2 linked regions of the Callithrix jacchus genome follow. Each later gene encodes a partner of the first gene's protein in a complex. Links are inferred from orthologs where the notes say so. Each region holds a gene or a part of one and is shown on either strand. Other genes may lie near its edges. The genes, in order: SIKE1 and SLMAP.

Evidence for each region.
Region 2: the proteins of SIKE1 (region 1) and SLMAP are in contact, whole or in part, in a crystal structure (PDB 6AKM), measured with the Homo sapiens proteins. The link is inferred for Callithrix jacchus from reciprocal best matches to the Homo sapiens genes SIKE1 and SLMAP. Residues at the interface, in NP_079349.2 of Homo sapiens: Ile5, Ile8, Leu9, Ala12, Lys13, Leu16, Leu19, Arg20, His22, Asp23, Ala26, Glu27, Leu29, Val30, Ser33, Ala34, Leu36, His37, Val40, Met43, Arg44; in NP_001291349.1 of Homo sapiens: Leu168, Tyr171, Leu172, Glu174, Ala175, Arg178, Glu179, Met181, Leu182, Lys185, Thr188, Leu189, Leu192, Leu193, Ile195, Thr196, Ala199, Ser200, Thr202, Ser203.

The regions. Positions count from the first base shown.
Region 1 is NC_133508.1:152,760,519-152,765,021, reverse strand, and holds the start of SIKE1 (suppressor of IKBKE 1), read left to right. Parts: upstream 1-1,696; 5' UTR 1,697-1,773; coding exon 1,774-1,944; intron 1,945-2,156; coding exon 2,157-2,262; intron 2,263-3,025; coding exon 3,026-3,168; intron 3,169-4,503.
Region 2 is NC_133516.1:39,559,679-39,563,500, forward strand, and holds the start of SLMAP (sarcolemmal membrane-associated protein), read left to right. Parts: upstream 1-1,754; 5' UTR 1,755-2,108; coding exon 2,109-2,306; intron 2,307-3,822. Other genes in the region: uncharacterized protein LOC144579547, read right to left, coding at 765-1,754. UniProt on the Homo sapiens protein: Associates with the striatin-interacting phosphatase and kinase (STRIPAK) core complex, forming the extended (SIKE1:SLMAP)STRIPAK complex.

The sequences.
Region 1 (4,503 bases):
GGGGTTTAAGGTTAAAGAGTGCCTGCCCACCTTCCTCCACATCTGGCCTAGAACATTTAATTGACTATAAGTCTGTTAATCATAGGAGGGACATGATGGACTCAGGGCAGGTAGCACATCACCCTGGCATTGATATGGGACGAAATAAAAGTTTGGAAATTGATACTGTCTCTGGGATACCTTGACAAAAAAAAAAAAAAAAAAAAAAAAAAACGGAATGCTGTTTTGAAGGCATGAGCCTAACCACGCCCCATCTGCGAGCATGTGATCAGTAAAACTGCTTTCGTTTCACCGCACCTCGCTTCTCATGTTTTTGGCCTCTAAACAGCAAGCAGCCAGATGTGAGCCAGTTGCAATAGCAGCATTATTTACAATAGCAAAAGATGGAAGCAACCCACTGGATGAATGGATAAACAAAATGCAGAATATACAATACAATGGAGTATTATTCAGCCTTAAAAAGGAAGGAAAATATAATATGTGCTACTATATGGATAAAACTTGTGGACATAATGCTAAGTGAAATAAGGCAGTTACATAAATACAAATGCTGTATGATTTCACTCATGTCAGGTATTCAGGAAAGTAGCATGGTGGCTGCCAGGGGATGGGGAGAAGAAAGAATGAGGAGCTACTGTTTAATAATGCAGAACTTCAGTTTTGCAAGATGAAAGAGTTCTAGAGATGGATGCTGATGGTGGCTGTATAACAGTGTGAATGTACTGCTATTAATACTACTGAACTGTATGCTTAAAAATGGCTCAGATAGCCGGGCGCGGTGGCTCACACCTGTAATCCCAGCACTTTGGGAGGCCGAGGCGGGTGGATCACGACGTCAAGAGATCGAGACCATCCTGGTCAACATGGTGAAACCCCATCTCTACTAAAAATACAAAAAATTAGCTGGGCATGGTGGCGCGTGCCTGTAATCCCAGCTACTCAGGAGGCCGAGGCAGGAGAATTGCCTGAACCCAGGAGGCGGAGGTTGCGGTGAGCCGAGATCGCGCCATTGCACTCCAGCCTGGGTAACAAGAGTGAAACTCCATCTCAAAAAAAAAAAAGGCTGAGATATTAAATTTTATGTGTATTTTACCACGATTTTTAAAAAATTAAATGAAAATAGGTCAGGTGCGGTGATTCACGCCTATATTCCCAGCACTTTCGGAGGCCGAGGCAGACAGATCACTTGAGGCCAGGAGTTCCATACCAGCCTGGCCAACATGGTGAAACCCTGTCTCTACTAAAAATAACAAAAATTAGCCGCATGTGATGGCACATGCCTGTAGTCCCAGGTTCTTGGGAGGCTAATGCAGGGGGATCGCTTGAACCCGGGAAGCAAGGGTTTCAGTGAGCCGAGATCACGCCACTGCACTCCAGCCTGGGCAACAACAGCAAAATTCCGTCTCAAAAAACAAAAATTTTAAATTAAAAATTAAATGAAAATAAAAACTATGAGTAACAACCCACATCGATGAAAACCAGTAGGGAAAGGAGAACTTCCTACTGCCCAGTTAATCATGGCCTGACCAGCAGGCTGTGGGAATTGGAAACCAAGGGCGTGGCAAGGGCAGGTCTGGGGCTCCGCGCTGGGCAGGACTGCAAAGAAGCCACAGGTTCCAGCGGGTAAACCCGCAAACGGGACTGCTATTGCGCAGGCGCAAGACACCTTTTAAACGTGCCCGGAAGTGACGCTTGTAATGCTGAGACAGACTCCCAGATCTCAGCAAGTCGCGTAGCTGAGCCCGGCAGGTCCAGTGGGGTCGTGCCGCTGCTATGAGCTGCACCATCGAGAAGATCCTGACAGATGCCAAGACGCTGCTGGAGAGGCTGCGGGAGCACGATGCGGCCGCTGAGTCACTGGTGGATCAGTCGGCGGCGTTGCACCGGCGGGTAGCCTCTATGCGGGAGGCGGGGACGGCGCTTCCGGATCAGGTCAGGCAGAGGGTAGGAGTCCAGTGCTCTCGGATTCTGGGCACTGAAGGGTGGAGAGCGAGGTAAAGTGGGAACTCGGCCTGGAATTGATTCCGCGTCTCAGAGGGCGGCGGTGAGACATTTTTCCTGGGTCGGGGCTGAGAAACCTGCCCCGGAGCGCTGATTTCTGCCTCTTCAGTTGCATCTGCCGCTGTTCTCTACTTAGTCTGTCTCTGTTTGTCCAGTATCAAGAGGATGCATCCGATATGAAGGACATGTCCAAATACAAACCTCACATTCTGCTGTCCCAAGAGAACACACAGATTAGAGACTTGCAGCAGGAAAACAGAGGTTAGTCGGGCCTTTTCATATCTGGTAATAGTTTGAAAGGTATTGCAGAATTGCCCTAACCGTTCACAAAAATGTACATATATTTCCAGGTCAGTACTTTTAGTAGGCGAGTCTTCCTGTGCTGGCCCGGTAACAGCAAAGGTTTTTAGATTACCCTTTTCAAGATCATCTGACTGATTTTGTAGCAGCTTACCAAAGAGCTGCTAAGTAGAGTTGAATTCTTGCAAACTTTAATGTTTAATAAGTATTAATGAAAATAAACACTAAAGGTAAGGTTTAAGGTTTTGTTTATGTTCTTGTTCATGCAAGGGAAGCAGCAGAATGTTATTTTAAGGGTATATATTCTTCGGCTTGATTAGTATATTATTAATAATTGTAGTATTACTAGTTGTTTACCAGCGGGGTTTCACAGGTATCATTCTACTGTATTCTCCTATCTTCATTTTTAGCTATTTATTACAATGCAGTTAAGAAATACACTCAGAGACGCTAAATGATTTACTTACAAGTATTAACGAAGCAAGTTACAGAACTGAACTCAAACCCGTGTCTTCTGATGACATATCCTTTGTTGTTTCTGCTTCTCTGCCTAGAAAGTTATCTTTCACATAGACTTTAACTGTTCAGTTTTGTGGACTTAAACCCTGATTTACAGCTTTGGATTCATATTATCTCTATAGTGTTACAAAATTCCAACTGTTAAGACTTTGGATATGGGAGCGCTCTCTCAGACATCACTGCCAAGTTATTTTATTTTTGATAGAGCTCTGGGTTTCCTTGGAGGAACACCAGGATGCTTTGGAACTCATCATGAGCAAGTACCGGAAACAGATGTTACAGTTAATGGTTGCTAAAAAAGCTGTGGATGCCGAACCAGTCCTGAAAGCTCACCAGTCTCACTCTGCAGTAAGAAACTTTGAATAAATTCGAAATGAACTGAATTGAAATCTTGAGATTGTTCATTGTGTGCTTGTTTTTGTTTTGTTTTTTGAGATAGGGCCTGGCTCTGTCGACCAGGCTGAGGTACAGTGGCACGATCTCAGCTCACTGCAACCTCTGCCTCCTGGGCTCAAGCCATCCTCTCATCTCTGCCTCCTGAGTAGCTGGGACTACAGGTGTACACCACCATGCCCTGTTAATTTTTGTGTATGTGGTTTTTTGGTTTTTGGTAGAGATGAGGTTTCACTGTGTTGCCCAGGCTGGTTTGAAACTCCTGTGCTCAAGCAATCCATCTACGTTGGCCTTCCAAAGTGCTGGGGTTACAGGCATGAACCACTGTGCCTGGCCATGTGTGCTTGTTTTTGAAGAAAAGTAAGCTTGTTTTCCTTTCATGTTTATCACGTTTGTTGTTGATTTTGCCATGGCTTTGTAAAGATATGAATAGAAAGGAGGAGGATGGGGCTGCTCAGGTCCTTTTATTTGAGTAGGAGTAAGGTACCCCCTCCCTTACCAAGATCTCTTTTGAAGATGTTCATTAATTCTTAGCTCTCCCACCAAACATAATGCCAGTTAGTGTTGAAGATGCCCAGTAAACACTTGGTTGCTTATTCTTTATACATCTCACTTAAGCTCCTTTGTTGTAAGGAGCATGAATTCATATTTTATTCCTACCATAGTACCTGACATACAGCAGGCGGTCAGTAAACATTTTTTAAACTGAACTACATAGCATTATACCATGTTGTTAGGGAAGAGAAGTATGCTTTTTTTTAAAAAAAAAAACAAAAAAACAAGCATGGCATAGTTTCTATACTTTGCTTATGATCTAATTTGAGAGACTCAGTAATTATTCTTATGCTTGTAGGTGCTTCGTAGATGTCATTGTACATTCATGTGTACTGTATGATTTAAATCTAGATGTGTAGATTGGAGCCTACTATATGCTACTGTGAGATGCAGTGAAAGATAAGCTTCGTCTTAAACTCCATTGAATGCATTTTACTGACTTAAAAGTTTTAGGAAACAGATATTTTATAAATATTTGAATGGCTTTCATCTGGAATAGAAAAGTAGATTTTATTTTTTCTCTTATGGAGGAAAAAACTTGAACCTTGAAAGAGACAGAGTTTACTCAGATAGATAAACTTTCTAAGTGATATGTCCAAAGATGAAATGTAATAAGCTTCCTGCCAATTAACGTATTCAAATTTAAGTTAGCCACTTAGAGATAGTATCCAACATCCAATGGGTAGTTAAACTACAATTGATTTTTCAAAAAAAAAAAAATTATCTGTGAATACC
Region 2 (3,822 bases), on another chromosome or scaffold:
GTCTTTCTTCTTTAGACCAATGACTCCTCATCTTGATAGTAAGTGGGGGCAGTACCCCCTTTCTTCGTTTTGGAAATTGTTCAATCTCTCTTTGGAAGCAACACTATTTTAAACTCTCTGCACGCTCCTTCTGTGGAAGAATCCGCGTAGGAGCCCTGGGGCACATACGAGGTCCGGTGAGAAGGGCTGTCTTTCGAAGCGTAATGCGGGAACTAAGCGTTTTTTTTCCGGGAAGAAAACACAGAGAAAACTTTAGCAGAGGGGAGGATGGTCCTTCGGTTAGGCGAACATCCTAAGACTTGAGGGAATTTGGCTGCTCACACTTAAGGTGGCTGCGGGCGACTCTGTTGCCCACAGCTAAGATGGCTGCTTATGACCATCTCCTTTGGCCGCCTCTGCTTTTTGCTCACTAGTATTTTCATCGAGGATTAAAGCGAATAAAATTTAGCAAAGGTTGGCATCTCCTTTCCAAGTAGATAAAATAAGAAGGTGGCACGGTTTGTTTCGAAAATCTTCTAGCGCGCGAATTGTTCTTGCCCTTAACGAAAATGGTCGTTGTGGTTGTCCCGAGGTTTGAAGCTTCCAGCCCTTAAATAAGATGGCGCCTAGAGGCGCGTTAGAAATTAGCTTGCCCGTTTTTCTGCCCTCGACCAACACGGCTTCCGTGGCGTCGCTCACGTGACATTCCTGGACTACGGCGCGGGAGAGGGGGTAGGAGGGCCCTTGAAGGGAGCGCGTTCCCGTGGCGGTGTACCCGGTAGGTTTCAGTCAGAGTCACTATGGCGGCCGGCGCTGGCAAGGTAAGCTGAGGCGGCGGTGGCGGCTAGGGAGGTAGAACCCGTCGTGGCGTCCTGCCTCCAAATCCTCGCAGCCCGCTTGTGGAGAGGTCGGCGGAGGTCATGCCTAGCGGTGGGAGCTGGCGGGGGTCTGGCTGGAGGGGGCGAGGGCTGAGGCGGGCGGGCTGAGGCGCCTGACGGCCGTTTGTTTTGATATTTTCCCCACCAGGTCGGAAAGTTTCCTGCCTCGTCCGGCGCAGCTTGAGCTTGCTCCATTGGCCGTGATCGGTGGAGGCTGCGGCGGACCCAGCCCGGGGCCTCCAGGCCTCTCCCTAACCTCCGGGCCAGTCTCCCTCCCCCACCTTCTCGTCCGCCCGGAGCTGCGACTGCTGTCCCTGAGATGCGACCCTCGCGGGGGCGACCCTGAGGGGAGGCGGCCCATGTGCTGAGCGGCGGCGACCAGGAGCCCAGGCGTCCGGGGACCAACTTCCTGCCGCCCGAGAACCCGAACCTCCCGGTGTCGCGCCTCGCTCGGTCCGCACCGGCCTGCGGAGCCGGGTCCCCGCCCTGGTCGCGGGGACACCCGCCAGGTGCCCAGGAGTCCCGACTTGGCCACTGCTCGCGCCCCGCCGGCCCCCACGCCTCGCGCTGAGGACCCCAGGCACTGCCGCCTCGCCACGCCGGGGACCGAGTCCCCCTTCCCGGGGCGGCCTCCGCGCAGCAGGGGCGATGCAGACTGTCCCGCCGGCCGTTTAGAGCCCCTCCGCCTCCGTCACCTCTCGCCCTCCACTCCGGGCGAGCACGGGCGGTGGCTGCCCGGAGGTGCCCGGCCACACCTTCCTTCGGCCCAAAAGGACTTTCCTGGCCGCGCCGAACCACGACCCTTCCTTCATGCTGCAGTGCTGCAGCGTTTCCGCCACCGAGGGGGAAAAGCGGCCGCGATCTCAAACCAAACACAAGAATTGGAGTGTGACTCATCTGCTTGGATACCTCCAGTCCCCAAACTGTGCTCCAGGAGTTTTCTTGGCCGAAGCTGCCCGATGTTTGAGCCGTTTCTTCCCAGAGAGGAAGATGGACTGAAAGCTGCCCGTTGGGGACTTTTCGTGATTAGGGCACTGCTGGGTTTTGGAGGAGGTGATGGGGCTTGCGCTGGCTTGTCTTCCCACCCAAGTGAAGAGTTGTTGATGTTCACTGGTTATGCATAGACAATGTGCAGTTTGTTTTAATTTAAAATTTTGGGTGGGATAGGGGTATAGGCTTGTGAAGGGCAGCCCGGATCCGGAGGAACTCCTCTTTGTCCCTGGTAGGAGAGACACCCCAAGCCTATCCTCGATGCCGTCAGCCTTGGCCATCTTCACTTGCCGCCCAAACTCGCACCCGTTTCAGGAGCGTCATGTCTACCTGGACGAGCCCATCAAAATCGGCCGTTCAGTGGCCCGCTGTCGACCAGCGCAGAATAATGCCACTTTTGATTGCAAAGTGCTGTCAAGGAACCACGCTCTCGTCTGGTTTGATCACAAGACAGGCAAGGTAATGTCACCACCACATTGTCCAACTGCATTGTTTAACAAACTCCTCCCCCACCCCACCTTTGCCCTCCCTGAAAGGCCTGACTTTTGCAGGATCCCAGGCTTTGCATCCACAGGAGGCTTTGCGCAAAGCCAGGAATCAACTGTTTGTGTGCCTGGTTCTAGTGGAAATTTGATTGAGGTGGTTGAATGGAAAACAGAGAAGGTATTGTAATTAAAAGCCTCAGGAGAGCTATGGCATCTTGATAACGTAGTCATTCCCAGAGAAATCCCAAACTAGATTGTGAAACTTGGCGTCTTGCTTTCAGTCTGTTGAGAAAGGTGAATTCACAGTTCAGCTCTTTATTAAGCAAGCAGCAGTTCTCAAAGCAATTCGGGGAATCCGTGGCCATTATTACCCTGGTGCTCAGGTGTCTTTGTGGTGAAATGTAGTTAACACATAGCTTTAGTTGAGTTCAGATCAAGACCTTTCTAAGTAAGGACAGTTGCTGGTGTAAACCTAAGATTTTTGAAAGGTTTGCTATATACTTGCTCTTGAAGGAATCATTTGCAATAATCAAAGCTAATTTAATTAAGCATGAGAACTGTACTTTATATATATTGAGAGTTTTTTTTACAAGTTGGTTGCACATACATATATTGCATTTGAAAATCACTTTTTGATGTTCCCTGCAGCACTTATTAAGTACTTATTGCATACTTACAGAGGTGCTATGCAAAAGTTAGTGTTAGGAAGTGAACTTATTTTCTGAAATTACACCCTAGTCTTTCAATTATAGTGTTACTTAAATGTGATAGGATGAATTCAGTGCTTTTCATTTTAAGTGTAACCATTTTTAGCATTTTTGCGTTAGTATCATGACTTACTATACATGTATGAGCTTTTAAGAATGAAGAAAAAAGATAGGATCATTTCCATTTTTAAAAACTATTTATGTTTGTGGAGAGTATACTAAAGAGCTCGTCTTAGTGCCTAAACCTCAGGTTTTTAGCCGAGCTACTGAATCAGTTCCAACTTTAAGTTATGTAAGACTAATAGGACTGTCTCAGGTTTCACCTCCTGACTTTTTGCCCCTTCTTTCTGAGTTAAATAATTAAATCTTTCTTAAAGGAAGAACTTAAGTCTTCAAGAATATGTTTTGAAGTGAAAGAAACCTGAGCCTCAAAAGGAAGAGAAAAAAATGATAACTTTGGCAGCTACTGATTTAAGGAAATATTTTATTATTTTTTAAAGAAAGGAGGAAAAGACTGTCCGAGTTATGTGTGCTCCATAATATCTATATTGTGTGTGTAGCATGAGAACTGAAGAGTATGTTAACTTTTCTGTGTAACACCAGTTCCTCATTTACCTGTGGAACAGACCCTTCCCCCAAGCTGGTTAGGGGTGCCTAAAATACTTCATAGATTACTTGATATACATATATATATTTTTTTTTTTTTTTTGACAGATTTTTACTTGCAATCTTTTTTTTTTTTGAGACAGATTTTTTGCTATTGTCACCCAGGCTGGAATGCAG